Linked DNA regions of Alligator mississippiensis. The protein of the gene in region 1 interacts with the protein of each later gene in a biochemical or structural test. Links are inferred from orthologs where the notes say so. Each region holds a gene or a part of one and is shown in the gene's direction. Other genes may lie near its edges.

The links.
Region 2: the proteins of STUB1 (region 1) and SNCA form a complex in vitro, tested with the Homo sapiens proteins (2 studies listed by BioGRID, with this or other methods). The link is inferred for Alligator mississippiensis from reciprocal best matches to the Homo sapiens genes STUB1 and SNCA.
Region 3: the proteins of STUB1 (region 1) and UBE2N form a complex in vitro, tested with the Homo sapiens proteins (11 studies listed by BioGRID and IntAct). The link is inferred for Alligator mississippiensis from reciprocal best matches to the Homo sapiens genes STUB1 and UBE2N.
Region 4: of the proteins of STUB1 (region 1) and NQO1, one has a biochemical effect on the other in vitro, tested with the Homo sapiens proteins (2 studies listed by BioGRID). The link is inferred for Alligator mississippiensis from reciprocal best matches to the Homo sapiens genes STUB1 and NQO1.

What each region holds. Positions count from the first base shown.
Region 1 is NC_081836.1:29,911,670-29,919,309, reverse strand, and holds the start of STUB1 (E3 ubiquitin-protein ligase CHIP), read left to right. Parts: upstream 1-4,627; 5' UTR 4,628-4,684; coding exon 4,685-4,900; intron 4,901-5,457; coding exon 5,458-5,656; intron 5,657-6,417; coding exon 6,418-6,583; intron 6,584-6,955; coding exon 6,956-7,046; intron 7,047-7,640. Other genes in the region: uncharacterized protein LOC106737444, read right to left, coding at 1-94, 1,059-1,211, 1,937-2,096, 3,933-4,140, 4,303-4,430. UniProt on the Homo sapiens protein: E3 ubiquitin-protein ligase which targets misfolded chaperone substrates towards proteasomal degradation.
Region 2 is NC_081825.1:152,570,549-152,578,315, reverse strand, and holds the start of SNCA (alpha-synuclein), read left to right. Parts: upstream 1-4,757; 5' UTR 4,758-4,937; intron 4,938-6,929; 5' UTR 6,930-6,954; coding exon 6,955-7,075; intron 7,076-7,767. UniProt on the Homo sapiens protein: Neuronal protein that plays several roles in synaptic activity such as regulation of synaptic vesicle trafficking and subsequent neurotransmitter release.
Region 3 is NC_081827.1:87,986,137-87,993,144, reverse strand, and holds the start of UBE2N (ubiquitin-conjugating enzyme E2 N), read left to right. Parts: upstream 1-3,994; 5' UTR 3,995-4,048; coding exon 4,049-4,078; intron 4,079-7,008. UniProt on the Homo sapiens protein: The UBE2V1-UBE2N and UBE2V2-UBE2N heterodimers catalyze the synthesis of non-canonical 'Lys-63'-linked polyubiquitin chains. This type of polyubiquitination does not lead to protein degradation by the proteasome.
Region 4 is NC_081833.1:76,440,100-76,448,101, reverse strand, and holds the start of NQO1 (NAD(P)H dehydrogenase [quinone] 1), read left to right. Parts: upstream 1-4,994; 5' UTR 4,995-5,081; coding exon 5,082-5,088; intron 5,089-7,370; coding exon 7,371-7,535; intron 7,536-7,626; coding exon 7,627-7,757; intron 7,758-7,860; coding exon 7,861-7,974; intron 7,975-8,002. Other genes in the region: RNA-binding protein NOB1, read left to right, coding at 278-547. UniProt on the Homo sapiens protein: Flavin-containing quinone reductase that catalyzes two-electron reduction of quinones to hydroquinones using either NADH or NADPH as electron donors.

The sequences.
Region 1 (7,640 bases):
GTCTGCAGCAGCGCAGGACACAATTTCTGTGCCACAGCCCAGGCCCAGAGACACATCTCCACCTGGTGAGGAGTCCAGTCTTTCTCTTTGTCAACTGGAAAAGATTGCAAATTGAGCCATTAAGCTCTATGGCTGCAACAGAACCAGATCTACCCACTCTCCAGGCCCCTGATGAGTTCCTGGGGAGACTTGTGGCCCAGAAAAGTGAGAGGTTGAGAGTACAGAATAAAACCACACACACATTCCCTCCGTGCAGCTCTGCAGGCCAGAATTACTCCCTCTTCCCAAGCAGCTCTGGAACGTACCTCCCTCCTGCTTCAAATGCCTGGTCACAGCAGATTGCAGGGAGGGAAAGATCAAAAGCTGTTGTTGCTACATGGTTGTGCATAGCAAAAACATGGGCTTGCAACACCCTTCTCCCCAGCTGCTGCTCCCAGCCCTGTTCTGAAGGGTAGGAAAGGCTTAAAAGGTAAAACCTCTCCCCTACACACAACACCTGGTGGTACAGGTAACTATGGAAGAAGCTACCATAGGTTCAAGCAAGAGATTCTGCAAGCTAGTGGAGCAGACACAAGGCAAGGTGAAGAGAGAGATCGCACAGCAGCTGGTGCTGATGAGCAGGGACCTACCGTGCCTGCAAGATGCATGTGTAAGAAACCAAGGAAATCTACTTGATACAACTGCAAGGCACTGCCTGTGTCTCAGTTACTGGACACAGAAACTTCAGGTCACAATTTGGCACTTAAATAAATTTTCACTGGAGGATCTCAATGGAGCGTGCGGTGGCAGGGGAGTGTTATCTTCATAGCATGGATAGGGAAGGTGGAGCAGAGACCAAGAGACTTGTCCAATGCCACAAAAGCAGCAACAGAGAAGAGGAGGAAACCTGACCCCCAGCTCTGGGTATGAACTACTTTGTCCAGTAGTGCAACAACAACCTTGCCATAAGCGCTGCAGTTCTACTGGCTTTTCAAGACAAGACCTTTAAAACAGAGATGCAGCAAATATCTTCCCCCTCCCTCCACAGGTCCTACTGCAGTGTGGCCCCCACCCCTCACCTTCATTTAGTTTCTTGGTACAAAGCTGGATCCTGTCCAGGTAGCAGATGTAATGCTTGAGGGAATACTTAATGGGGGTGAGGCCTGGGATGGACTCCACTGCTTCATCTGCCATGAAAGCCACAACCTCAGGGGCTCCTGCTGCCAGGATTGCTGAAATGGGAAGGTGGGGGAGTATGCAGCAGAGGAACTGGACAGGTTGGAGGGGGTGGGGGATAGCAGGAGATGCCAAATCCTTCATCACAGCAGATGTCCACTTTCTTAGGGCCTTGGGGCTGGCTCTTGGATGCCTGTCAGAGCCTGCCAGGGCAAGCTGGCACATCACAGAACCTGAAGCCAAGCCAAGAGGACTTGTGCACACCAACACTCCCAGGAGAGATGGGACTGGACCAGTGCAGGGTTCAAGGGGAGGCTTGCCCTTGGGCAGCTGGAATTACCTCTGCTTCCACAGATAGGTGTCTCTCCACCAGCTCATCACAGCAGGAAATACACCAAGCCAGTGACTCAACCATCCCAGCTGGCACCTTCTCGTGCAGGTTTGCATGCCCTCGACCTGTACTTTCTGCTGCCCTCAGTGCTAAGGACCTCTTCAAGGTTTTGGTTTTAACAGGCCACTAGCAACTAGTTTGGCTGCCTGCAAGACTAGGAAGAACCAGTGGCTTCCCCCTTGTCCACAGGGCTGGGATCTAGGGCCACCGCTGTTTCCCAGGAGCCATGAGTGTCAGCATCTTGCATCCCACTATGCAAGTAGCAGTGCATGGCTGTTTGGGTGAAAGTGCTGACCAACCCTGGCTGTTCTTTCACTTACAGTTTGGTCAATCCATGGCTCTACCCCCTTATCTCTTCCCCATCCCTCACTGAATTCCCTTAGTCCTTACCTGAAGCTGTGGCTGGTCCTATAGCCTTTAGCTGGCTCAGCTCAGTTATGGCAGCTGCCACATCTGGGAGGAGCTGAAAAGCTTTCCTTGTACAGCGCTCCACTGTCTCCTGGGAGTTAGTGGCCACCAGCTGCTGCAGACGAGGACGGAACTTTCCCCGCTAGAGGGGAGGAGAGAAGGCAGCAAGGTGAGCCCCCCTCAACTGAAGACTTAGCTGTGCAGGTGACTACAGCTCATTGCTTGTAACCCCAGGGGCTGAAAGGGGCAATACTCTTATTAGAGGGGATCCAACTCTGAGGCCATGAGTTCTTTGCCAACCCTTTGAAAAAAAAACAGAGCAATTCTTTCTTGGTATACATTTCTGTTCAACTGTAGTCCCCTGACTATGCTCTACATGCCCCCTGGGATCCACCACGCCCTAAAGATAAGACTCTGAGGTCAGAGAGAAGATAGCCCAAGAGGTCTTTGCCTAAAGCAATACTGTCCAACTCCCCTGGGCTTGTCCTAAAGCCACATCCAGACCACAGAGCTCCTCGTGGGCTAGATCCAGATCTACCTCTGGCAACAGGGGAAGTGGCAGTGGTGTGAACTGCTGTGGTTTCCTGGGTGTTTGTGTTGGCTCAAGGAGCCGAGAGGAATAACAGTCTTTGCTTGCCCTGCTGCCACTGAACTGGCAACAAGGCTCTGTGCCCTAGTATTCAGCAATGGGCCCAGCCCCCACTCACCCCAACCCCTCTAGGAGTCTTGTGGGCTGTGACAGGTCCGAGGGCCAGACCTGGTCTGCGGGCTGGGTCTTTGACACCCCTGTCCTAAGGAATAGGAAGTTGGGTAACCAATTTGGAAAATGCAAAGTGGTTTGAGGCTGAGCACAGTGTGCCTGGAGGAAAGTTTACTTGTTCACAACTCTCGTGTATCTTTTCCAGCTACTACGCCACCCCCTTACTCTGCATCTTCTCTGGGATTTTACCTTCCTTTCCTCGTTTTCCCAAGTAGACAACAGCCTTGCCTTCACGGCTCTATCCTATTACCACGACACTCCTATCTCAGTGCAGTTTCATCTACCTTCTCCTTTCTCCCAAATATTCTTAGTGACTAAGCCAGCCTGCTGCTTTCACCCTGCCCAGCTATAATTGGACCAACCGCTCCATTCCAGTGGATTCAGAGCCAATGAAAATAATTCAATTATAAGCTCACTGATGCAGATAATCTCTCTGTGCGCTCAAAGAGCTGTGGGCAGTACTAACGCTGTGTAAAAACAAATTAATAATAATTCCCCTGGAAATCCAATCACAGGCCTGTGGAGCTAGTGGGAGGAAACTGACCAAGCTGTGTGAAATGCAAAAGGTTAGGATTTATCTACACTCAAACTGGTTTGCTGCTATAACATGACTGGCATGGCTGGACTGCTAAATCCCCTACTGGAGATGCAGTCATTGGATCCTTTAAACTGTTGTGTTAGGACAGCTCACACCAGTTCCCCAAGTGGAACAGACTATCCCAGAAATACGCTGCTTTGCCATCGTGACTGTATCTGCATTCAGGCTTCAGTCGTGTAAGCTGGGCGATAACAAGGTGAGCTAAGGACAGAGCTCCATCATGCTCCTAACTAAATTTGTTCGGCTAGCAAAGGTGTTTACATGGAGACAGGATCAAAAAGAAACGTGACATTTCTAGAGATGAGGCTACTGACTCCTCAGGCCCGACTTACCACAGCCTGTCTGCAGCTGAATGCAACTTAGAGCAACCCCAAGGTTGTTGCAGGTTGAACCAGGGTCCAGACTGATTAATTGATTAACAAGCCGCAAAGATGACATAAAACTGCTTCTCTACCCCTGCCCTGGGCCAGAGGCTATGGCCGGCCCATGATTTCTGTCTCAACCTTAGAAAGGTAAGCACAACAGTTACCAATTTAAATAGCTGTCAGACAGCTGGCGCGCACGTGCTCCCGAGCGGAAGCAAACACTCAATACCCTGCAGACGTCGGATCTCCCAGCACCTGGAAGAGATGTCGCAGCCCGTGGGGGGCTGAGACCCCCGTCCCAGCCGTGCATCCACTCCCATTATAGGGCTGAGACGCTGCACGTGGCCATTCAGCTGGGAAGTGACTCACGGTGAGTTTCCACTGCATCAGCTTCACTACTTCGCCCTGGGTCAAATGCTTCTCTTTCCGTCCCGCGAGAGCAGCCGGCAACTCCTCCTGATACCTGAAACAGAGCCCAGAGCGGGCAGGACTCGCGCCGCCGCCTGCACCCGACCCCCTGCGGCCCCTCGTGTCACCGGGGCACCAGAGCCTGGGGCTCCGCACTGGCGACAGCTTCGGGCGGGACGAGCAGTTGCGCGGGCGCCGCCGCCGCCGCCGCATTTACCATTTCTCCAGCCCGGCGAGGCCTTTCCGCTCGCTCCCCTTGGCTTCGACCACCGCCCAGTGCAGGTCGCGCACTCGTCTCCAGCACGCGGGGTCTTGGCAGCCGTAGAGACCTCCCTTGGCCGCCATGTCTGTGAGGACCCCTCGCTCCCGCGGTCGCCCCCGCTCTCCACCAACGCTCCCAGCACGCGCCGTGCGATTCGCGCCAGCTTCCCAGTGTCCCCTGCGGCAGCCCCAGCCCCGCCCCTCACGTGACCCCTCCCGCAGGCCACGCCCCCGTCCCGGAAGTTCCGGCGGGCGGGGCGGGGCCGTGGCTGTGGCCGGCGCCGTCGGTGTCGCAGCCGCAGCGCAGCGCCAGGCCGGGCGGGCGGGCGCGCGCGGGGATGAAGGGCAAGGAGGAGAAGGAGGGCGGCGGCGGCGGCGGCGCGGGGCCGTGCGGGGCGGGGCCGCGGGGCGGGGGGCCGGGCGGCGCGGGCGCGGGGCCGGGCGGCGGCAGCCCCGAGAAGAGCCACAGCGCGCAGGAGCACAAGGAGCAGGGCAACCGCCTCTTCGTCGGCCGCAAGTACCCTGAGGCGGCCGCCTGCTACGGCCGCGCCATCGTGAGTGCGGGGCCGGGGGAAGAGAAGGGCCGGGCTAGGGGCGGTGCCGCCGCCGCGCGGCCTCTACCGGGCCCCGCCGCCCTCCAGCGCGCCTGGCTGGCAGGGCCCCGCGGGCCACGGCGGGCCGGGGGAGGCCCCTTAGCGCTGGTTCCTGCCCTGGCCCAGGAGCAGGCAGGAGGGCAGGGGCGGCCTAGAGCCGGGGGCGGAGTCCAGGGCTCAGGACCCGCGGAGCAGTTGCAAGACCCCCGAGCAAGTGGCCCAAAGCACGAGGTCTGTCCCTGTGATACTGTAGATGTTAACATAAGCAACACTGAGGAAAAGGAGGTTTTGTAAAGATGGTGCAACATACATATCTGCATAATGAGATCCAGTAACAAGCAAAGGTCAAAATAAGCTAAATATCAAGGCTGAGTGCAGCCTAGTAGACTGTATATAATGGCCCAGGAGAGTAGTGGAAAGTGGTCACACACCAGGAAGCCTCCCAGCCCCAGCGGTTAGGGAAGTCTGGGGGTGGTGTTGCCCTGGGTTGCCCCTAACGCACGCAGGTCTTCTTCCAGAACCGCAATCCCTTGGTAGCCGTGTATTACACCAACCGGGCCTTGTGCTACCTGAAGATGCAGCAGCACGATAAAGCCCTGGCAGACTGCAAGCATGCACTGGAGCTAGACAGCCAGTCTGTAAAGGCCCACTTCTTCCTGGGTCAGTGCCAGATGGAGATGGAGAACTATGATGAGGCCATCGCTAACCTGCAGAGGGGTGAGTGCCTGCCAGTCAACAGGCAGCTGGGCCTGACTCAAGGCATTGACAGTCTTCATAGTCTATTGACCTTCCCTGCTAACAGGAGTGCCCTGGCTGCTTTTAACTTACCGGCAGGGGGTGTGGCTGTTCTCTGTTCAAAGGTGCTAGGATGGAGGCCCTAGCTAAGCTGCAGGCAGGCCTCCCATCCTGAACGGGCACAAGTAGCGCCCACCTGCAAAACTACAGCCTGTGAATACAAAGTAGAAAAGGCTGGAGTTGAGCAGGGGACAGCTTGGAGTGACCGTACGTGCACAGCTTCTCCCTAGGCCGGGGGTGTTTGGAGCACCAGTTGAAAGCCTGTGGGAGTTCAGTGCCTCTGTGCTTGACCACACACCAGTCATGTGGCTGCGGGTGAGGCCCAAGGGGGAGTCAATTTCTTTGGCAGCTGCTTGGAATTCAGTCCCCAAGCAGTTTCTCTGCAGCTGGTATGGTGGGGTTCGGGTTGTAGCCTGCAGCTTCAAGTTTAATGAGCCCTCCCCATTTGCTGCTTTGTGCTACAGCAGCAGCATGACTTAGGGCAGTGCCACTCAGGAGCATATTAGCCACTTAAAGCTGTAGATGTCAACTTCCGTCTGCCCTGCATGTGTAGGTGCTGGCGTGGCCGGAGCAGAAAGAGTGAAACCATCATCTAGAGGCTGGTATTGCACTTCTCGTGATGAGCTGCACTGCCAAGTGGGTTTAGGAAGGCTTCTCTGCTGACCTCCACTTTGTCTCCTCAGCCCACAATCTTGCCAAGGAGCAGCGGCTGAATTTTGGGGATGACATTCCAAGTGCCCTGAGGATTGCCAAGAAGAAGCGCTGGAACAGCATTGAGGAGAAACGGATCAACCAGGAAAATGAGTTGCACTCCTATCTGACCAAACTTATCATGGCTGAGAAGGAGAGGTAATGTGGGTAGGAATCTCTTCCCCCTCAGCAGCTAGGAGGGATGGCCTGGAAGAATATCAGGCCTCTGCAAACAAGGGGAAGGAATTGGAGAGTCCTCTGAAGGATGAGGGCAGCCTGGCCTCATAGACTGACTTTGCTATCTGGGGTGTGAGGAAGGCAAAGGGGTTGAACACCTGCTGGCATCTGCTGTTGCCCTAAGTAGTCTGGTGCTGTTATAGATGGTGGAGTCCCTTTCTGAGAAAGTCAGAGGCTTTGTGCCAGGGACCTGTGTTAATTGGGAGGTGACCGCTCCTCCTTCTCCAGCATGGTGTTCCTGGTTGCTTGCCAAAGCTTGCTCTGTGCTGTAATATTCTTCTGCATCTGTCCTAGGGAGCTGGACGAATGCCGAAGGACACAGCAAGAGGAAAACATGGATGAGAACCGGGGCAGGGCTCAACTGGCCAACATTGAAGCCAAACATGTAAGGCATCTCCCTCTTTGTATATTTGGGACTCCCAGGGGGGTTGGACTGTTTCAGTGTGTTTTTGCTTGGGGAGAGCTGCAAACTTGGGGGGTGCTGCTTCCTTGGGCCACCCTAGCATGAAAGGTGGTAGCCAGACCTTTTTGAGGTGAGCATAGACCTATGGGTGACCTCTGGGTGGTTGAACCCATGGGGGCACCAAGAGATGCCACAGTAAAACCTTTGTGGGAATTCTGGAGCACAAAGGGGAAGTGGCTGTCACCATGTCCTGCTTTCCAGGCTGCTGTGCTGAGCGAGGATGACTGTTGGGAGCAGAGCTATAATCACAATTGCAACAGGTCAAGGAAACAAAGCAGGTTTCCCCTCACAGTGGCTGCTGTCTCCAGTGCTCAGTGTTTGTATAATGCAGGCTGCTTCTGAAGCTCTTTTTACACCAGGTGCCTGTCCAATACCAGCAGCTGCAGCCCATGTCAAAAATAGGTTGAATGGTATTGCATCCCCTATTTATATCCTGTGCCCTGTCCATGCTGTGCGATGCATCACTCAAGGTAGCTTGTCTGCTGTGTGGTGTCTGCTCAGGGCACAGTGGGCTTT
Region 2 (7,767 bases), on another chromosome or scaffold:
ACTGGCCTGGCATTTCTGAGGAGCTACCCCACCACAGATAGCCCCACCAGGCCATCCTTCCCCAGCAAGGTGCAGGTTCAAGTCATACCCAGGACCAGGATTCTTCTGCCATCCCCATAGCTCCTGCCCTTATCTCCAAGGATGTTCTGAGCAGCAGCAACTCAGCTGGGTGGTGTTATTTTAGCTGCCAGCAGCAGAATGCCAGGGCAGCTTTGAGGGCCTGAGCTAAAATGGAGTCTGCTGAGCCCTGTCCTCCAATCGCATGGTCCTCACAGGGTCATGCAACCAATTCAGCAGAGCTAGCCTGCACCTGCCAGCTGCCCTGCTGCCATCAAGGCCCTTAAAGTGACAGGCACCAAAGGTGCTCTGTCACAGAGAGTTATGAATGTAGAGTCATTCACAGTTTGTGGGCAGAACCTGAGCACCGCCAGCCAAACTATGTTCTATAAATCAGGCATGGGGGTTGTTAGGTTAACAAAGGGTCAGGTACAAGGTGTGTGAGAATGATTAAAGCTAATGACTATGTAGGCCGGATCTTCAGCTGGAGTAAATAGGGTAGTTTCATTTATTGGTACAATTATGGAAGAACATTGAAAGGAAATAACCAAGTGTTTAGACAGAATATAGTAGGATGAGTCTGGTCAAACAGTTTTGGAAGGTAACGTAATGGATAGCCACTTGATTTGGTGAAAAAAAGATGGGCAGAAAGATAATAAACATGTCTGCTCTAAAACAGAGGCCTATGGTATGTCAGGGATACATTTCTTCCTTAGGGCTAAAACTAATTTGGCAACTGCTGGAAGAACATCATTTTGCCATGATGTAGGCAACATTTTCCATCATTCCTATAACAAGTATTTTGCATTTTGTTTGGTATTTTTTTTAGTATACTTTCTGCATATACAGACAGTTACCTCTTAATTTGTTCTTTACTCTTTGAGTCAATCATTTGCTTTTAACTCTGCTTGTTTTTAGTATCTGTAAAACTGGAAGTGGATGTGCTGTTGGGATGTTTTAGGTTAAAAAAAAGAACACTTTGACCTGTGGGGACTCTCTAGGGAGGCAGAGCAAGGGATTATAGGTTATCTGATCAAGAGCAACAGGAGTCCTAAGCTTTCATTGTTTAGTCCCTCTTGGACAACCAAAGCAAGTGCCTTTTAGCTACTGCATTTGTGCATTTATTATCCTGAAAGATATAGTCTTTGGGGGAAAAGCCACAATTCAAAGAGTGTGATTGGAATTGTTTCTATTAATAAATATGACAAACAAAATACTAATCTTTTGCGTTATAGTTAGAAAGCAGTCAGTCAGATAAGTCTATTGTTATGCTAAATCCTACCACTGCAATCTGTTGTAGCATGGGCACGTACAAATCCTCCAAGCTACGATAAGGCTCTCAATCTCTGGGGTTCTGCATAGTTGCAGGGGTGGATGCACAGAGAGTCAGGTTTGACATCTGATACAGAATCCAAACAAGAGTCAAGATTAAAATACAACTACTAATCCCACCATATTTCCTTTAATAAGTATAATAGAGACAACCCATTATTTTTATCTAGCATATCTCCATAGCTTCCTCTTCCCAGACCAGCTTGAAGAATAAGCTGCTTTTTATTCAGTTTCCATAACCTGTCTGTTCTCCACTGATCTGGAACCTTGCAAATTATCTCTGAGTGATTCTTTTGGGCACTGTGAAAAACTGCTGCCATTATACTAGAGGTGAGGTTTCTGAAATACTGTTGGACTAAAACAAACAAAAAACCCCTTTGCTTAGTCCTGGTATCATCTATGTATCAGTGTAATCATCATTTTCATTGATAGAATGGTTTGTGCAATGCTGCTAACACCTTGTCATTGCCATGATATGACATTGCCAAGTGATGTCATGAAATATAATGTTAATGGTTTTCAGGACACTTTTATTCTGAGTCTTAGATTGTGGGGTGTGCTGTGCAAATAAATTCTATATTCTTCAAATTTAGTCTTGTAAGATGCTGCTGTCCACTTGTGGAATCATTCCTTCTAAAAAGGGTCTTGGGGACTAGATTCCTGTTGACTATCTCCTGAGAGATGTGGGGCCCAATTTTTAAGGTATTTTAGCATCTCTGCCTGCAGATAGGGGTCCAGTGGGATTTTACAAAACACTTCCATGTTTAATTTGCACTTCTTTCAAGGAGTCCATGAGGGTATTTGCTAAATCTTGTATGATACTTTTGAGACGCATCTAAAATTGTCCAGAGGAATGTAAGATTGCCAAAACCTTTTTAGATTATAGAATAATTTTATATTTTTCCATTTTCACTTTTGACAGGGAAGAAAGAAAACTGTGTCCACATTTGTTACTGGTGTTTTTTCTAGCTTTAAACTAAATACAAGTAGCTGGGATTTGATCATGGGAAGTCTTGCTACCTTCGTTTTGCAATACAACAACAATAATCCCCACATATTGAAAATGTCCCTTTTCAATCTATGACAAATAAATTACAGCTATGTGCCTCTTCCAAGCTGGGGGAGGAAACAAAATCCCCTACCAGTCTTTCTCCCTTTTAAGCATGAATTTGCTCTGCATGGTGAAGGAGATGAAACGCCTTCTATGTACTGTAATTATTGTTTTACAAAAGGTCTTCTTGAGGGCAGAGTTATATAATAGAAGAAACTTATATTCTCAATCAGAGAAAAACAAACCACACTGGTAAACAATAGGCTGATTGAAGCTAGGAGTTGGATGAACTAAAGGGAAGTTTATCAGGCTATTTTGAGATACTGGAGCTCATAAGTAATCTCAGAAAGGCCAAAACTCTTGATTCCCATGTTCAGAGTGGGAGAAAAGCCTGTGTTTGTCAAGAAGACTGGAACAGGTGCTCAGCATTAAGATCTGTGTTGGAAGATGGATGAAAGGAAAAGTGGAAACGTGAAGTCCAACTCCCTGCCTATCCTCTGCCTTCAACCTACTGTCTTCATGCCCCTTGCTTCAGTCTTGCAAAGTGGGATAAAATAAAGGAAAAGGAAGAAGGCTGGAATACTACAGTCCTGCAGTTTGGGGACTCTTACATGCAAATTATAACATCAAAATACAGTACAAGACCGATGACAACTCACACTGCATTCCAAAAAATGGTCCCAAATATACCCTAGCTAAGTGCATCAGGCTCTGGATGTTTTTGTATAATAAGAATGATCAGACTTTTTCTCTAGTCCTGAGAGGGTGTCCTGAGGTGTTGAATGGCTCTAGTAGGAACCAGGAGCCAGGTCTAGGTTTTTATAGCGCTTACACTTCAGGGTGCAGTTCTTTTCCTCCAATAGAAACAACTGAATGAGGTAACATGTTCAAAAGTGACAAAGTGACCATTTTAACAACAAAATTAGGCTTTTGGGAACATACATCTCACAGAAAGTCAGTGACACATGGGTTTCTAGGTCCTTTGGAAACAGATAAAGGCATTCAAGGAACTGAAAGAGGCAGATGGGTGCAAGAGACGTTTTTGAAGCATCCTGGCTTCCAGGGGAAGGATCTAGACGCTCTGAAAATCCCACCTGGCATCTACCAGCATCTTAAATGCAGGGTTTGAATTACGGGGGAGCTCAGGGGGGCTGAGCCTGCCCATAAGAGACAAGAGCCCCCCTGTTGTAAGATTTGCAAATCATAACCTGGGGGGTCTCTCATTTTATTAGGGCATCCTGATGGGCAGCCCAACATTTTTTTTCTGATTTCCCCCCTCCCAAGTATCAAAGTGTAATTTGAACACTGGTTAAATACCATTGGAAATTTAGCCCTTCTGCTCTCAAGAAGATGTCACCCCATCTCTTTGCCGCTTGTCAGTTTGGGTGCTGGGAGCCAGTAATGAGAAGGATCCAGTTTTTCCCCCAGGGTCTGTTGCCTGGCCTGGATGATGGGAAGGTGTGCTGACTGAAAGGAAACGTCTCCCTGGCCATGGCTTCCTTCTCCTGGGCATCCAATGTTCTTTTTGTTGGTGGATGGAAGGTGGGGGCAGAATGGGCTGATGGCTGGCACTTGCTGAAGCTCCTGGAAACACCCAAGGGAGACAGCGTTGTTGGTTGTAGCCGTGTTGGTCTAAGGACATAGGCAGGCAAGGCTCCTCAGGTAGATGTGGTATATTTTATTAGACGTGATGCCTTTTATTAGACCAACTAAATAACTAAATATGTGATATCTGAAGCTCCTGGAAACACTCAAGGGAGACAGGGCTGTTGGTTGTAGCTGTGTTGGCTTAAGAATATAGGCAGGTAAGGCTCTTTGGGTAGATGTGCTATGTTTTATGAGATGTGATACCTTTTATTAGATGGACTAGATAACTAAAGATTTAGTGGGTCTAATAAAAGATATCACATCTATCCAAAGAGCCTTGCCTGCCAAGAGAGATGGGTTCTTTGGGTAAATCTGATGTCTTCTATTAGACCAACTCGAATAGTTGGAAAAATTCCTCTTCGCAAGCCTTTGGGTACAAATACTAATAAATAAATAAATAAATGTAAATAAGGGAGACTCATCTTTTTTCTTGCCCTCCCCAGTCAGTCTCCATGTGCTCTGCTCTTGGCAATGAATCCCCTGGCCAAGGGACCCCCAGAGGAGGCGGTGCCCAAGCCTCAGAGGCAGGAGTGCCTCATCCCGGGGGCGATGGGGGGAGAAGTGCCCAGGCACATGGGAGGGGAGGCCTGCCTCCATCTTCCCCCTGCGACGAATCAGACGGATTGGGCGGGGAAGGCGATGGGGAGGGGGCAGGAGGCGGAGGGGCAGCGTCGCTGCCTGCCCGCTCTCTCCGCCTCCCGCCCGCACCCGCACCCGCTGCCTGCCGGGCTGGGACCGGGCGGGGGCAGCTCCCCGCGACTCTCCCGCCGGCTCCGGCTCCGCCATGTGCTGAGGCAGGGGCCGCTCCTCGGGTCCCCCGCGCCGCCGCTGCAGCTCCCCGGGCCCCGCGGTGAGTGCCTGCAGCTGCTCGTTCTCGTGACGGTGCTTCTCGCAGTGGGGATTTGGGTCCTGTCCTGGCTGCGCCTGGCGGGAGCGGGGCACGGCCCCGGGGCTGCGTGTGCGGAGAGGCGGCTCCGCCCGGCTGCTGCCCCGACCCCCCCGGGCTGCCTCCGCCTCGCGGGTCGCTTCATCCCGGGGAGGATGAGAGAGAGAGTGTGTGTGTACCTGATCCCAGGCTACATGTGCGCTGGGCGGGATGAGCCTGAGCCTGGCTTCAGCTGCTGCTGCTTCGTGCCCTGGAAATGCCACAGCTTTCTGTAGGGAGGCACTGGGCAAACTTTCCTTCTGTCTCTCTCTTTTTTAAATAAAATTTTGGTCTAGCCCCGTCCCCTCCGGCAGGTCAGCACACTGCCGAACTGCCCAGCCGGGGGAGGGATGGGAGGCTGCGTCCATTGTGGTGAGTGAATGCTCTGTTAACAGGTGCCCCAGCCTGCCTTCCTCTCCTGTGTGTGTGTGTGTGTGAGCTGTGTGTGTGTTGTGGGGGGTTGATTCCGCAAGGCTCAGTGTGTGTATGTGCATGTGTGAATGTATGTTTGCGTGTTTGGGGGGTGCAGTGTGATTTCCCAGGGCTCAGAGTGTGTATGTGTGTGCATGCATGTGTGCATGTGTCTGTGTGATTCTCCAGGGCACAGCATCATTCAGGAGAGGGCAGCTCCTGGAGAAGGTCCTGGGACATTTCCCTCACTAGTGTCAAGCCTGGTTGGAAGCTGCCTCCCCACAATGGATCCCAGAGAGCCTCGCTAGTAGTAGCTAGACAGATCTTACATCTCAGTGATTGAAACGGCTTCATTGCCTCTCCTAGGAAGACTGGCAGCTGTTAGAAAAGGTTTTAATGAGACACCAATAGCACTTCTAATTTTTAAAACCCTTGGTAGGGGTGGCTGCAGCCCAGATGTTTCCTTAGACACCCATTCCTCCTTCTCAGCATCACAAGGGAAAGGGAGAGGAGAGGCACCCCTAAGCTTTTGCTCTACATATGGGTGGAGAAAGAAGTGATCACCAATCTAGTTAATTTGTTAAAGGGACACTGTCATTTTTTAAGTGACTTATATGTAGCTCCTGACCTTACCTTGGCTCCTGTTTCCCACCTGCCAGTTTGGGAGTTTTACAGTGACGTCTTTCTACTTTTACTCCATGTTTTGTTCCCCCTGCTGCTGTATGAAGGACCACTTAAAATCACAGGGGAAACTAATTCTATAGGAGAAAGAAGCAAACAGAAAGAAATGCTGTCAAATCCGAAAAAGCAGACCTTCCCTCTCCCCTCCCCCTCCAAATCCTTTCAAGTATAATAGGGGTTTCTTATAACAATAGTAATTAAACACTTTTGCACAGAAGTCTGCTTTTTTTGACAGTGTTTCTTTAAGGGAGTCTGTGGCTCTGAGTGAGGAGATAGAAAATATCATCTCATCTTAGAGCTGAATCCTTCCTTCTTACAGGAAAAAACCCCGTCTCATTTCCTTTAAAGGAAATTTTATTTCAGAAAAGAGAAGATCTGGAAAAGATCTGTTAAATCAGCTAATCCACCCCCCATTCTTCACCCTCACCAGAACTGAATCAGTTCCTATAGCACATTGCAGCCTCTTCATTTTTAAGGCTCCTTTGCAATTAGCTAGGTCTGTTCTACTTGGGTTGTGAGAGTACTGCAGAAACAAGATGTATGTCTGTAATGCTGGTTAACTTGTTATGTATGACAGCGTTTGAGAAAATAGAAAATATCAAGGCCATTGAGAGGAGTGCATGTATTTTTGGACCACTTTTCTTCTGTATGAAATACTGAACATGGGTGTGTGAAGAAAGTCAAATGTATACAGATGATATTTGTGATGTTCAGAAAAATCTAATCTTTCAATAAAAACGGTTCTAGTCACAGCTGGAACAAAAGTCTTCCTGTCAGAAAAAAGAGCACTTGATTCAAAATGTTTGTCTTGTTCTCTTTCTCCAGTACTGTCTAAAGAAATTGTTTAACCATGGATGTATTCATGAAAGGGCTTTCCAAGGCTAAGGAGGGAGTCGTGGCAGCAGCAGAAAAAACCAAACAGGGTGTGGCAGAAGCAGCAGGAAAGACGAAAGAGGGCGTTCTCTATATGGGTAGGTGGGCAAGATAAAACCAACTGCTATTACTGTGTTGGCTTTTGTGTGTGGTATGAATGACTGATTGAAAGACCAGGAGCCAGACTGTTGGGAATGACCTTGGTATAAATGTGGAGTAACTCAATAACAGAGTTGCTGCACTGTAAATGAGATTTGACTTGAGCCCTGAATTTTGAAGGTAAACCTCTGTAAAGCTGGATAATGACTCTTGCTAGATCTTTTGGTGTTTCATCGCACCATCAGAGTCATCCTTTATTATGGCACAGTACCATAAGCATATAGGCTATAAGCTGGCCTGTAAGCATACAGTAGGTGGTCTGTGCACATATGGCCATGTATAATAGGAGATACGTCAAAAATTGTGCATGCTGTTCAAACTGCCTGCCAATTTCAGGGCAAAGGGGCTGGTTATAAAGAGTGGCAGGCAGTTTTACAATTGAAATGCTATCGAACATGAGGATTTCAAGAATATGCTTTTTCTTTTTTCCCCCCATCTAAAATGAAAAGGAATGGAAGATGACATCAGGGCTAGAAGAGAAGCTATTGAGTTGTTTTTCATTATTTTAAATAAGTATTCCTGACATTTTTATACAAATACTGGAAACTCTCATTACCTCACCGAGCTTGACTGAGTTTCCTGTAATGGATTTTTAATACACCTCACGCCCATAGCATCTTCCTTTCGTGGA
Region 3 (7,008 bases), on another chromosome or scaffold:
CTGGGTCTGGGGTTTTTACCCCCCCTCCACCTTCTGAGCCTGGAAGATTATGGCTGTTGTAATCCCCCAGCCCCAGTGATATGTGGGACACCCATGCAGCTGGGAGCCCCTCAAATGAGAGCTTGCTTCTTGCTGCTGCAGGGAGAGCCTGGGATTGGGCTCCCCTTGCATTGGCAATAAGGCATGATGGGATCTAATGTGTGATGCCGCAATCATGCCACTTGCCATGCACACATTGAATACATTATGTTGCTAAAAAAATAAGTTTGTTCTACTTTTGTGATCAGGACTGAAATTGTAGTAATTAAGTTAAAAAAAAAAATCACCAAACATTTTAAGTGATGACTGTAAGAATAAACCATGTTAAAAAACATGCTTAAACAATGCTCAGTAAAGGATTTGAATTGAATGTTTCTCAATCAGCACAGGAAACAGAGGGCGAGTAACTCATAATGAACAGACCCTGACTCTGCAAATACTTGCACACAAAGACAAGCATGTACATATGAGTCGTCTAATTGAAATCAGTGAACTCAGCAGAATGCTGATTTGCATAAAGCTAAAAAAGGTGAATAAATGCTTTACATGACTTGGACCTTATTTAACAAATGGTGAGCTCATTTCATGAGTTAAGTCTATATACGTTGTTTTTTAAAATGTGTGTCACTTGAAAGAACCGGTGAAATCACTAATTAGTGAATCATATTGGACAGTAGCTCACAAGCAGTTGCAAGATTTCCATATTCAGAATTCAGATTGTTATGGCTGAACACACAAGTTGCATGTATTGTTTCCATTCCGTTTGGATCAAAAACAGTTAGAATCAGTCCTTTTCTGTGAATTTGCAAAGAACAGTTATGGGAGTCTCTCAAAGTGTGTTCTTTTGGTGAACATGCCTGCCAGTAAAATCACTTGAGGACAGTACAAGTAATTCATTTTCTAAAACTATAATATTTTTAAATGCTACATGAATTAAAACGTTTGTATTGTTTGTCTACTTTTATGGGAGACTGCAACAGAAGAGATACTGCTTTCCAATTAAGTAGAGAGCAACCTCTGCTATAGTTAGGGTTGTAAACATTTTCGATTTAAAGGTCAACTATTTAAGTGGGCTAAAATACACACCCTGCATTTAATCATCCAAACTGAGTTCATTTGAACAAAAGGTTCCTCAGATACAGTCCTTCCCTTCAAAATAGCATTTCTTCAAAATAATTCTACCACATTCTATTGCCCCCCAACTGTAGTGTTTGCTGGAAGTAGAATAGAAGGGACCAAAATGGGAAGGGGAACAGGAGAAAAGGTTGTAGCTGCAGCAAAGGATGGGGACATTATGGAAAGAGGGTAAAGAGGAATAGGTGACAAAGGAGAAGAGGGGCTGAGGAGGTTCAGGTCAGGAATGGGGGATGGATAGGGCAAGGGATATGATAGAGGGCATTCGGTTTGGTGGTAGAAAAAATGAGGGACAGCAACATTCAAGACCACATTCTCTCCTCCTACCTGTGTGCCCTGAAAGGAGAGGACTTTTCCCCTCTAGGGATGCCTGAGCCCCTCCTTGCCCTGACTGAGAACTGGGACAAGGGGGACCCTGAAGTGAACACAATTTTAAGCTTGTGAAAAGCAGAAAATATATGCCCTGTATGGGGTTTGGGGCTGGCTAGATCATAGAGGTAAAAGGGGTAACTTGGAGGGGGGACACACTGGGTGGGCCAGAGGCGTGGCTTAGGAGGCCTTGCTGAAGAAGGTCCAGACATGAGGATTAGCTTGACGTGTAGCTGTAACCAAAGACATGCTCAACCCTTCAGTAAGCTTCTGACTGTGGTATATGTACACAGCAGCAAAGGGTGCCAGATAGTAGGCCTGTGCGAAGTGGCTAGTATTCGCTTCGGATTCGGCTGATTTGGGGGACAGCGATTTGATCTGGTGATTCGAATCACTGTCCCGATTCAATTTGGCCAAATCTGGGTTGGAGATTCGGCAGCAGCTGAATCTCTGAATTAGCCAGGCCTGGCCCATTCCCCGCCCCTCTCCCAGCCCTGCAATGGCTGCCCCGCCTGCCCCAGCTCCCAGCACTTGTAAGGAGAAAAAAAAAAAGTCCAGACTCACCAGGTACTGCCAAGCAGGGGGCAATCCCTGCTGTCACACGCTATGTGGGGGGCTCTGCCACAAGCCCCGCAAAGCCCTGAGGCTGCTGCAGGAGCAGCGAGTCTTGGGGGCTTGTCTCTGTTTTTTTTTTTTCTTAAAGGGCTGGAGCTGGTCCGGGCGAGGCACCCACAGGGGTTTCTTTTTAAGTGATGATGGCTTGAATGCACCACTTTGCCTATACCTTCAGTATGTAATCACAGTCCCGTAGTTATTAGATTTTTTTCAGATTCATCCAACAAAATCTCACCTTCTTGAGCCCAGTAGCAGCCTTAGGGGAGGGCAAACTGGGCAACTGCTCAGGCCCCCACACTTTAGGGGGTCCAATTTTTTTTTTGGTGGGGGGGGGGAAGTTTTTGCAAGGAAGTGGCTCCATTTTAAACACTTGACTACTAATCTAATTCCCCCCAAAACATTAAAAAGATTCACAAGACAACTGTGGTGGGTTAATATTTACCTGAGTACATACCTCTAAGGGGCCTCAAATGACTCGCTTGCCCAGGACCCCAACAACTCTAAGGCCACTGCTGTTGAGCCTCTTGACAGTGCCTCCCATGCAGGGCTGAGCTAATGTTTGTAGTCAGAGTTGCACAGACTGTGGAGAGCTGTAAAACAGGAGCAGGGCTAGCAGAAGAACTCAGAGCAGAACTGCAAAAGAAAAAAATACCTCACAGTAGCTGAACATTACGATCATTAAAAAGGAGAGCACATCATTAACACCTGTGAGATTGAGAAGGAAACAGTTGGATTCCAATGAGACATAGCCAAGTGCTTCCCTCAGCAGGTGCTGGACTAGAAATACTGCTGCCCTTACCCAGCCCTTCATGGGATTATGGGAAAGCAGAGCTGGAAAGGACCTCAAGAGGTTACCTAGTCCAGCGCTTCCCAACTAGTGGCCGCAGCACAATGGCGTGCCATTACAAACGAACAGGGGTGCCGCTGAATTTTGCCTTGGTAATGGGTTACAACGAGATCATGAATAGGGGGATAGGGAACGCAAGGGAGACATTTTATTCGTGTAAATGTGTCTTGGCCTGGAAAAGGCTGAGAAACCCTAATCTGGTCCAGCCCCTTGCTCAAGGCAGGGCAGTCCCTGACTACACTTTTCCAGACGGCATCGGATGGAGTGAACTCGGGTTCACAAAAGCCAGCTTGCTCTCGCTCGCTCTGTTTATATGCGTATCTTCTTTATGCGTGTATAAAGGCATCTTCTAGCTGACGTTACACTACCACAGCTAGCCACTTCTCTAAAGACAAGCAGGGACGGAGCAGCAGAAGTCCACAGTACTGGGGCAGCGGGACCCACATGCCTTTCTCTTCTCGTGTGGTCGTCAGATGGCGCCCTGTCTGCGAAACGGGGATAAGGCTGCTCAGCCAGTACTCGGCACTCGGAGAGCCTTCAGTGCCCAGCTGAAACGAAGGGGCCGGCAGCCCCGGCTCAGCACTTCCGGGGTGGGGGCGAGGGCGGAGACCAGGCCCTATCTCTCCCGCCCACGAAGGGCGGTGGCAACAGGCCCGCACTCTTGCCCTTCCCCCCACAGCTCTACGCTTATTGGCTGCGCCAACGGCGCGAGGACCGCCCCCCCCTCGGGGCCTCGCCCCTCCCACGGGACACCGTGACTCTACAGCAAGGGCAGCGCGAGCCTGACAGCAGTGCACGTGGCTCCCCGCGTTCCTCCTCCCCGCCCCCTCAGCTGCACGTCACAGCCTGCAAGCCTGAGGCCGCGGGCCCCGCCTGCCGCACTACACCTCCTTTCCTGCACTACATTGCCCGGCGTGCCGCGCGGGGGGGGGCGGGTGAGGGGGCAGTGACGTTACCGGAAGCGGGTCGCGGGTGATTTCCGGTTGTGCGCGAGCCCCCGAGCGGAGCCGAGACCCAGCGGCGCCTGAATCCCGATCAGACAAGATGGCCGGCCTGCCCCGCAGGATCATCAAGGTACACCAGGCCCCCGCCCCCGGCTCCCGCTCCCAGCCCGGCCCGCGCGCGGCTTCCGGTGCCCGGCCCGGGCCCTTCCCCCCTCGCCGCCCGGGCCCGGGTGTGGGCGGGCGCGAGGGAGGCCCCATGCGGCGACGGTGGCGGCCGGGCCCGAGCGGGGCCTTGGCGCAGCCGCTTCCGCCGCGGCGGCGGGAATGAATGGGAGCAGCTGGACCGCGGCGCGGACGCCTCCTGCTGGCCGAGCCCGTGTCCCCGGCCCAGACCCCGACCCCTGCCCGGCCTGGCGGGCGCAGTTGTGACAGCGCCGGGAGCTGCGGAGCCCGAAGTGCCCCCGTCTGCCCCGTGTCCAGCGGCCGGGCTGTAGTGGGCCAAGAGCCGCGGCCTCGCTGCTGGGGGCGCCCACCCGATGACTCAGGGCTCGCTGACCCCCGCGCCCCCCCAGCAGGCAGGGGCCTGGCTGCGGGCCCGGGCCTTGCCCTGGCTTCACCTGTGAGAGGTCCTTTAAAAATAGAGACTGAGGAAGGGAGGAGTGTTTGCGACTGCATGGTGCGGCCTGCCCGATTCTGTTCCTCCTTGAATGCTGGCACCCAGGGGCAGTGCAGAGGCTGTGCTGGCCTGGGGGAGGTGGCTCTGAGGGAGCAGGAAGTGAGAGCCGGGTCAGACTGTTTCTGAAATGGAAAAGGGGGTAACAAGGTGGATGCTTTGCCTGCCAAGTGCTGGAGTCCTGGTTCTCAATCTTCTTGGGCTCAACCCCTGTCTCCCTTGTCCAGGCTTTGTTGGGAAGTGGCAGCTCTTCCTTTTCACTTGTTTTTAGACTGTGGAAACATCACAGAGCAATAATGTTAGTCTTGCAGAGAGCTCGGAAAGACCACCACAGGGCAGGATGTTGTTTGCACTGTGGGTTCCTGTTTGAAATCTCTGGGTGAATTGGGCTTGCACACCTCACAAGGCTGGAGCTCCAGGCACCCCAGGTTGCTTCAGCATCCTGGCTGAGATGCAAACAAAAGGTTCTCTGTTTTACTAATAAGATATAATGATGACAAGCTAAATATTGCGGGTGCCTTAAATCAAAGTTATTTCAGTATTTGTGTTCTTAGACATTGCTGTCTGTTTAAGACAGTGTTGATTTAGAGCTGTGTCATGTTGAGTTTTCAGCTCGTAATATGTTTTTGTGGCTACTGTAGGGGATCCAACCAAGTATTTTGTATTCATGGTATTTGAAATGATTTAATAGTAACATGGGTCCTTTGAAATCAGTTTAGTTTTAAGCTATAGTGGACCATAAACAAATAGGTTAGTTTTTATATTGACATCTACATCTTAAGGAAGAGATGTGAGTGAAATAACACAATGCATTTTTTTCCTTGAGGCAGCATAACATTAATCTGTGATCTTTATTGTGGATCTTTCCTTTTAGCATGGTGTAAATATTAGTCTCATTAGCTACAGCTTCAAGTTTTGAGAAGTGATGTGAATTCAAGCCCTCAAATTGGTGATGACTGGTTCTGTAAAAGTAGCTTTGTTCAAGTAAGGTCCATTAGTTCTGATTAGAGATAATAGCACCATTGTTTCTTGCTGAAGTGAATGAATATCTGGCGCGCAATTTATAATGTTGTGAAGCTGCTCTTGGTAGAACATGCTGAAAGTTGGCAACTATTACAAACATCAAGGCCCAGATTATGCAAAAAGTTGAAGTAAAAGGTATTATCAGATTGGCTGTAAACGAAAGTGAGTAAGGTAGTATAGTAAGAGGGAATAGGGAGGTACATCCCACTTAAACTGTGCAGAATTAATATTAAAGATGGTGAAGTTGATTACCAGTTGCTTAATGTTTACTATTGCTCTAGGGATTTTAAAGACAGAAGTTTTAATATAATTTGATAATGTCACTTAGCTAGCTATCTCAATGCAGTTTATCCAACACTAAAAATATTACAGTTGGTTAATAGCATGTGGTGGTTAATGTCCTGCAGTATACTAGACACTACTTATTCTGGAGGCCTGTTAAAACTGTATAGTGAAGCTGAATTTTCTGTTTGTTTTTTTTAAGGTGGCCTTGAGTATTATCTCTAACTTTCTAAAAATTAAAGGATCTATCTGCAGGGTTGCACACAGGTTTCCTTCCTGTGCTTCTGTATTTTTGTTTTTCTTCCTACTTTACAAAGTATATAGTAAATTGCACAATGCGTTTCTAAGATTGGTGAAGATGCCATTCCTCAAAGTTAAATTTGTTTTTAACCCTTTATAGCTTAAAATTAGCTTGAAATTCCAAAGCTGTCTTCTTGCAGAATGCTGTTGTGGAAGATGCTGATTATTATTATTTTTTTTAAGTATGTGCATCGGGCTAAGCGTGCAGTGCCATGTGTACATTATGTGTTTGAACTTTGATCATATAATGGATTGCAGTGGTCAGGGTTGTAATTATGCATGAATTGGAAAGTATCATATAGCCTATAGGTTGAATCTAGCTTAAGTGACTTGTATTGTGCAGAATCTAAGTTATCTTTTTAATATGTGAAATTTCTTAACTACTGTGTCTGAAGAGAACATACCAACTATAATTTGTTTGCTTGAGTCTGCAGACAGCCTGAAACAATAACTCTGTTAACTTCTCTATACCTTCTAGCTTTTGTGTTAATATTAATTATTCCATTGCTGATTTATTTTAGAAGGTGGACTAGCAGAACTGAAGCCCCTTGTGGTGGGAATTTGGAGATACAGGAAAGGAAATACAGAGAGGTGAGAGGGGGAGTAATGGCAAAAGGAGGAAGCAAAGGGGCAGAAATAATGGTGGCTTTGGGGAGAATATATTTTCTCACTGAGCGGTACTTAATGCGACAGTACATAAATAAATACATGGTTTCATTAGCATAAAACAATCCTTGATTTGTGTAAGCCATCCACTTATGTCTGTGGAAGACTTGCTGTGG
Region 4 (8,002 bases), on another chromosome or scaffold:
ATGTTGCTAGACATGGCAGCTTGTTCCAGCGCTTGCTGCCACCTCTCCCCATTTCTGATCCGAGTCCTGCTTCAATTTGGAACTGCTGAACCTACGTCTACTAGGCAACAAAGTCTCTCACATCTTTGGCCTTGGGCTCCTCCCCTGCATAGACTTGGCTCCCTGGGCCTTGGGCCATGTGTGCTGGGAGTTCATTGGGAAGCAGTTGGCCTGAGTCTGGAGCAGACTCTGCCTAACTGCTGTGCTCTCACTCTGATCGCTCTTGTTGTCCCTGCAGTACCCCCTGCCCGCTCCCCAAGGGGGGAAGCACGCCAGCAACCCTCACCTGGTGGAGGACCAGCAGTTCCCGCAGCAGCGGCTTTCCCGAAAAGCCAGGGAGAAAACCAACGTCTTCGACCCTGACTACATCGCGGGGGTTTCTCCCTTTGCAGAAAACGACATCTACAGCCGTGCAGCCAACCTGCGCATCCGGGATGCGGCCCTGGGTGCAGGCCGGCGCCGCATGAATCCCAACACCGCTACGAGGAAGTTCGTGAAGAAGCGGTGAAGGGAGAGGAAGAGCCGTCTGCTTGGGTCAGCTGAGCAATAAGTCACATTTTCATGCCTGATGCGCATGCGAGAGCGAGGCTTCTCGCTGGGTCCCCCTGTGCAGACCCCGAGCTGGTGGCACTGGGAAGGCCCCGGTGCCACTGCTTTCCATGCTCACCCGGGTGCATAGAGCATCAGGCCTCTTTTGACGTGAGGCATCTATCGAACTGGATCTGGCTGTATATTTTTGCTTGCTTCTAGCTGCGTGGCAGCAGTGGACACTTCAGTGCTTTTAATAAATAAGGTCATGGCAGTCCGTGGCTGTTTCGCTTGCAGTTGAGAGAGTTCTGTGGTTAATTCTTATGCTCTAAGACGGCATGTGGAGAAAGAGCATCTGTGTCCTGAGGCACTGCAGCCTACCAGTGCTGCAAAGGCAGCTGCTGCTCAGCTGACTGCTGCATGCGGGCTCTTGTGCTTGGCTTGTACCTCTTGCTGTGGTTCCCCCTGTTCCTGTTTATAAGATGCAGGATGCCCTCCCGTTGGGGTGCAAAGGTGTCCAGCCCAGTGCTGGAATTAGTGGACACATGCACAGCTGAATTTGCTGCAGTTTGAGCTGTTTTCTTGTAGTCCCAGATGTATCTCCCATCCTGCTGGTGCACAGCACCCCAGTGGCAGGAGCATGCTGCATGCAAATCTAATGGACAAGGGACTCTGCACACGGCAGGGACACGCCTGCCCAGCCCGAGGATGGCGTGTAGTGCGGGAAGGGCCCACACCTGGGCAGAGGCAGGTGCAGCATTGCAGTAGCCCTCCCCTTTGATTTGCCTGCCGGAGCAACACTGTCAGGCTGTAACCAGGAGCTGGATACAGAGGCAAATACTTGTCCTTTGTTTCCACTTGACAAAGTGCTGATATTATAGCAGGAGCAAATACTTTGCTTTAGCTTGGAGCAATGTACAGTGTCCTGTAAGACAGGGAGCAGCTGCAGCCCCAGGGCCTGGCCAGTACCATGCTTTCTCTATCGAGCTATTTCTTACCTGTCCGCTGGCTTGGCTGCAGAGGGAAACGAAGAGCAAGTCTCTCCTCCTGGCCTAGGCTGGGTACGAGGTTGGCGCACAGAGGCAGAGCAGCAGTGGCTAGAAAGCATGGAAAGGAATGGTTAACAAAGATGCCGTTTAGAGAGCGCTGTGGACAGAAGCAAGGCTTTCCGCGTATCAGTGCCCTGGCCTGCAAGCAAAGCTAAGCCAACGTTCAGGCACAAAAGGGCTTGGCAACTGGGTGACCAGTTGGGATTGAGTGCTCCAACTGGGAGCAAGGCAGCTATTAATGGGAAAGCCCTTTGTGCAGGTCCCCAAGTGCCCTGGTTCTTTGAGAAGAGCTCCAGGCCAGAGACAGGCTGGAGAGGACTGATCCCTCCTTTAGGACCTTTCTAGGGCTGGATCATCACTTCCAGGTGAGGTGCTGCTCACTGCTGGGCTTTGTGGCTTGTTACTGAGTGGAAAAAAGCATCTCCAGAGTTTTCAAAACCCCCTTTTCCTGCCTGCCTTTCTCCGCTCCATCAGCCTTCCTGGAGCTAACCCAGCTGTGACCGTTCAGTGAGAATAACTTGGCTCCACACTCCTTTCTCTGTCAGTTTTGATGGCGTTTGCTCTGCTCTGACAAAAAGCAGCACGGTTGCAACCCCAATGCCCAGGGCGGGACAGCTCTTGGGTTCCTCTCAAATGCAGAAACTGCCCCTCTCGGCAGACAGCTGTGCATCGCTGTCTTCGGGACTGCGCTCAAACTTGCGCACTTTCAGCAAGACCTTTGCTCGTGCTTTTTGAAGAGGGCAGTTCCCTGCCGAGGGGGAAAGCGGAGCTGTGGGGCAGAGTGGAGTTTGCCCGTCATGCTTTGTTGGCGTGATGCCCGAGGAGTGCTGCTAAAGCTAGGCCGTGCCAGGACCCAGCAGCATGTCAGGGCGGCGTTTGTGGAGCCAGGGGCGGCTTGCATTGCTGAACTTTATCGTCCACGGCCCGCCCAGGGCAGCGAGCTGTAAATCATTCCTTGGCGTTGTTTCCCTTCCCTTAGGCCACACGCTGTTTTTCCCTTACTGCGTTTTAGTGCATGGGTCTGAGCTGGTGCTTGGAGGAAATCTGCACTCCTGGTTTCAGGCGCTGGGGAAAGGCAGCGACCTCTCTCCTGTCACATTGGTGGCACAGTGCTGCCTTGCTGGGAGCTGAGAGCCCATTTCCTTGGGGGCCAACTGAGGAGGAGGAGGAGAGGGATCGGGCTGAGCAGGGCTCTGGGACCTCCAGCCGGCGAGTGAAGCTTGCACGTGGCTGTGAGCATTTGTGTGCACACTCGCCTGGTGCTTAATTAGCTTGTTTATGCTGCCTGTGGCTGGACTAAGGACCATGGGAATGGGGGGGGGGACTCCAGGGGCCCCCTCTTGTTTCTCTAATTATTACTCTAGATACCAACCACAGTCAACAAAGTGTTTCCAGGGCCCCACTGTGACTGGGCAGCAGCATCCCGACCTGCCGTACGGTCAGGTACAGGCCCCAGCCCCCCGTGTCGCTCGTTCAGAGGCTGGGGTCAGCAAGGCCAGTCTGCAAAGCAATAGGGCAGCACCCCAGGCCAGAGGAGCCCGGCCGCAGGTCATGGACCTGCTCCCCTTCAGTTCTTAGTGTGGGAGCATGGTCTGGCCTACACCCGCTGACTGGGGCAGCAGGTCCTAGGCGTCGCTGTGTCCCTGGCCTGCACCCTGGGTCTGGCCTTTTTGAGCTGGCCCTTACGAGCTGCTTAGTTCAGCTCTCTAGCGAACAGGGTGCTAAATGCGGAGAGTGAAAAGGTAACTAATTCACCTCTGGTGCATTTCTAAGCAGCCCAGTACCCTCCCGAGGTACAAACTGAGCTACGCAAGGCGCCAGAACAGAGGTGGCAGGTTCCTCTCTGCAAGGGGCATTTCAGGATTGCAGCCAGACCCCGCAGCTCAAATATTCAAAGTCCCTTTTTGCTTCCGAGTGCCGGCTTCGAAGTCAGGTGCAGTCACGGAGACCTGCAGGCTCGTCGGCGCAGATGAACGTCTGGAGCCAGGCTCTGAAATGGGCATACAGTTAGCTTTGGAAAGGTCTTGGGCAGGAAAAGAAGTGGCAGGGTCTGCTACGCTCTCCCCTGGGCCAGGCAGCGATCGGCAAGGTGCACCCTCCCAGGCATGCGCAGCACCCAGTCAACCTGGGAGGACTACAGCAATAGCAGCGACTGAGGCCCGCACAGTCTCCCTGCTCAAGCTCTCCCATTGCCATAACAATAGAAAAGGCTGCTGTTCTTGCACGTAACGTGCGTGCCGGTCTGGACCCCCCTGCCTGTCGACACCTTTGAAAACCATGACCTCTACCGTGACTTAGCTCTGCAGGTGCGCGGGACTCACGCAATGCTGTTCTCCACCCACAGCCGCAGAGCAAGATCTTTTGTTTGAGTTCATTACTGTTTGATAGCGCCGCGCCCAATTTAATTCAGGTGGAGCGCTGCAAACACGATATGGTCTGGGGGCAGGTTTTGCTCAGCTGAGTCACCCAGCGCGACGGGCCAGCAGCCAGCTCGGCGTTACGAAAGGCCTAGGAGGAGAGGCCCGGGGACCTGGTGTGAGGGGGGTCTCGGGCATTTTTGGTCATGTACCTGTAGCAGGTTTATCTTTTCGGTAGCCCCTTTCTAGGTCTGCCGTCCAGCTGCGTATCCTCACGGCTCCACGGTGCAGAAGCAGCACTTCTGCATCGCTCCTGCCCTGTGCCCCCATCAGCTGCTCTTCGTGAGGTTAGGTAGACCGGGATTGCAGGGAACCTCCACTTGTGGCTTAAAGATAGAAAACAGAGCAAATACAAATGGTTAGTTTTGGGGATGAAAAGAAGCAAGCAGTGGGTCCCCCAGGTCTGTTGGGGCCGGTGCCGTGTAACGTGTTCATAAATGATCTGGAAAAGGAGGTGGCCAAGTCTGCCAATGACGCCAAATGATTCAAAATTGGTAAGAGCACGGTGGGTGGGCCTCGGGGCACCGAGCCAAGGGGCAGCTCAATGGCAATTTAACATAGGTCCACCTGGCTGTGACCTCTGCTTGGATGGGCTCGACGCGAGCTGTTCCCATATGGGGAGCAGAGCTAGGGGTCCTTGGGGCAGTCCCCTAAAAACAGCGGTCCAAAAGGCAAACGGGAGGACGAAGGGAGACGTGCCCCTCGGTGCCTCCACATCTGGATAACTCTGGTCCCCGCGGCTCAGCCAGGAGCGCGAGGAGGGCAGAGGGGAGCAGGGGGCTTCCCTAGGACACGGAGGAGGCAGACAGGAGAGGCTGCAAAAAGGGGAGGGTTACGAAACGCAAAGGGGAGAAGGGAAAGTCACTGGGGAGTTGTCTCCCTGGCTCTCGCCGGGCGCCGCAGGGACCCAGGAGGCTGCTGCGAGGCGGCAGGACCCCGCGGGCAGCTGGGTGGGGCTGAGCACTGAGGCATCGCCTCCCGGAGCCGGCTCCGCCCTTGGGGAAGTGTCTCTGCAAGCTGGGACCGGCCCGGCTGCCTCCGACCCGCCATGGCTGGTAAGAGACGGGGGACAGGGGCAGGGGCTGTGCTGTGCCCCAGCCCGGGCTGGACCGGGGCTCCCAGCAGCGCAGCCCCTGGGCCCCTCTGCCCATGGAGGAGAGGGGCAGGGGGCAAGGGGCAATGCCCTGCCCCAGGGCTGCCTGCACCTGAAGTGCGGAGCGGAGGGGAGAGAAGGGGAAGGGGAGACTCCTTCTTCCAGGGCGCCCCGGGGAGCTCCTGCACGCACAGCGGCACCGTCGCGGGGGTTTGGGCAGACAGGGTTCCTGGGGGAAATGCGACGTCTTCTTTTTTAAACCAGCTCAGTAGCTGGAGAAATGGGTGTAAGCGCTCAAAGTTACACCAGCCCAGGGCAGGAGTCACCAAGGGGTGCAAATGTGCTGCCCGCAGGGAAGTCCCAGGACCTCCACCCCCCTCCGCGGGGCAGCGGGGTGACAAGCCGGTCGTGGCACCTCACAGCGCTGGCTCCAAGCCCGGCCTTTCGTGGCGGGTCACGGCTGTGCGGGGGGACAGCCCGAGGTTTGTAGACTCGGGGTGCAACCGCTCCAGACACCGAGCCAGCACGAGTGTTGATCCACACTCGTGCAGCTCACAAGGCCTCTGCTCCCTGCCCCCGTGCGACGCCGGACGTGGTCTGACCCCTCCGTGGCAGCTCGGATGCTCTCGTGGAGGCCGGAGGCTCCGGGCTTGGGCAACGCCGGCTCGGCCTCCTCCTCCTGCCGGTCTCGCTCCAGCTCCCAATGCCCCAGCTTTTCCCGTTGGTGCTTCGCCTGCCCCGTGGACGGCCCTTGCTGCCTTCCCTCACGCTGCTCCTCCGCACAGCCCTCCTCAGCCCTGGGAAACACGGCGTCCCGAGGGCTCCTCCTTTGCACCCTGATCTTGGTGGGGGTGCGTAACCCCCCGACAGGTGCCAACCTCTACGGCCGTGCCTGGGCCTTGGTCTTCTTGCTGTGCGGAGAGCGGGGACCCTCGCGGGGCCGCCCTGGCCGCAGCTGGCTCCTCAGCCCAGGTCTGCGTCCACAGGCAATTCCTTTTGGTTGCTCCCCGTAAGGCCCTCCGCTCGTCTACCCCCTTCGCTCCCTCCCTCCTTCCCCCCGAATTGCCCAGGTGACTCCTCCGCTCGCCTGCCGCCCCCCCCGCCCCTTCCCCTCACAGCACGGATGTGCCAAGGTGCTCCCACGTGAAGATCCCAGCCGTGGCCCTGGGTGCATCGCCTGCGACTGCCTCCTCTCCCTTTTCATCTCGTGGTTTGATGAAGGCCGCGCTGCGGCATGGTTTCCTCTTGATCCCGGTCTCTGTCCCTTATGTCCACTGAAGCCGCTCTCGTTGGCAGCTCAGACCTGGCCCCCCACCCTCATCCCCCTGGACTCGGCGGCTGCCTTTGACGCCATCGACCGTACCCCTCTTCGTGCCTTCTTGCCCTCCTTCCCCGTCCGCGACGCCGTCTCCTGCTTTACCCCTGAGCGCTGCAATTGCCCCTGCAGCACGTGGGCTGTTTGCAGAGCATCCTCTTGCAGCGCTGCAGGGCCCGTCCTTGATCCGCTCCTGCCTCCTCCGGCACGTTGGCTCGAGTCGTCTCGGGGCGGTGAGCCGTGCTAGCCTGGAGCCAGGCAGGGCAAGGGGGCGCCTTGGAAGTTAAGTAGAGGCGCGAGCTTCTGTACGCAAAGCCCAACTGGTCCGACGCCAGGCACGGACACCAGTTAATCCCCAAGTACAAATCCAATTCCTGCCTCTGCCCGTGACTTGCTGCCTCCCTTCCTCAGACCTGCCTCAGCCGGTCCAGACTAAGAATTCAGCATGGGTTTCAGCTCAGTGAGGCTAAAAACGCTCATCTTTCCTCCTTCCTGCCACCTTGCTCGATCGCTGGGCACACCGACTCCATCCGGCCTGTCCCCGATGGCCTGGACCTCCCTCTGGGCCCGCTCCTTCCGTGTAACGTTCCCGAGACGCTGCTCGAATTCTTGTCGTGAGCCTCAGGGCACCGGGGTCCGAGACGGCTCGGTCCTTCGCTGCTTGCTTGCGTGTTCGGGACGGGAGACGAGCTGAGCGAAGCCCTGCACTTTAGGCAGCCAGACTTTTATGGGGCATCCCCCTCCAATCCTTTCGCCTGCATTTCAGGCACGCAGACTGAGATCCTATCAAGATCCCATCTGCCGGGGTGGCAGGGAGAGGGGGCACGTACTCTGCGTTGCCCACGTCTCGGGAATCGGGAAACTCGGTGTTTTGGGGCGCCTTTCCCTCCGGTGAAGGAAGCGCTCCAGCTTCTCGCTCTCTCTTCCAGCAAAAAAAGCCCTGATCGTGCTGGCGCACGCGGAGAAGACCTCCTTCAACCACGCCATGAAGGATGCTGCTGTCGACGCACTGCAGAAGAAAGGCTGGAGCGTCGCCGTGTCTGACCTGTACGCCATGAAGTTCAACCCGGTGCAGTCCCGGGAAGACATCACCGGTACTGAGCAGCGCTGTTCCCCCGAAAGCACAGAGCTCCTTGGCACCGGTCCCCAGCACCGACCTCTGTCCTGTTTTGCCTCCTCTCTCAGGTAAGCCGAAGGATCCCAACAACTTCAACTACGCGGTGGAGATGGGCTTGGCGTGGAAGGAGGGCCGGCTGAGCAGCGACATCGTGGCAGAACAGAAGAAGCTGGAGGCTGCGGACCTCGTGATATTCCAGGTACCTCCTTCCTCGCCAAGGGAGCAACCGCGGATGGAAAGAAAAGCAGGACTCATCTCCTGACCTCCTTCTGCAATCTCTCCGTCTCTCCCTTCCTCCTAAGTTCCCGCTCCAGTGGTTTGGGGTGCCAGCCATCCTCAAGGGCTGGTTTGACCGGGTTTTCACAGGAGGCTTTGCCTACTCCTATGCCAGCATGTACGACCAGGGCCCCTTCCAGGTAGGCTGCGCTGGGGACGGGTACTCGC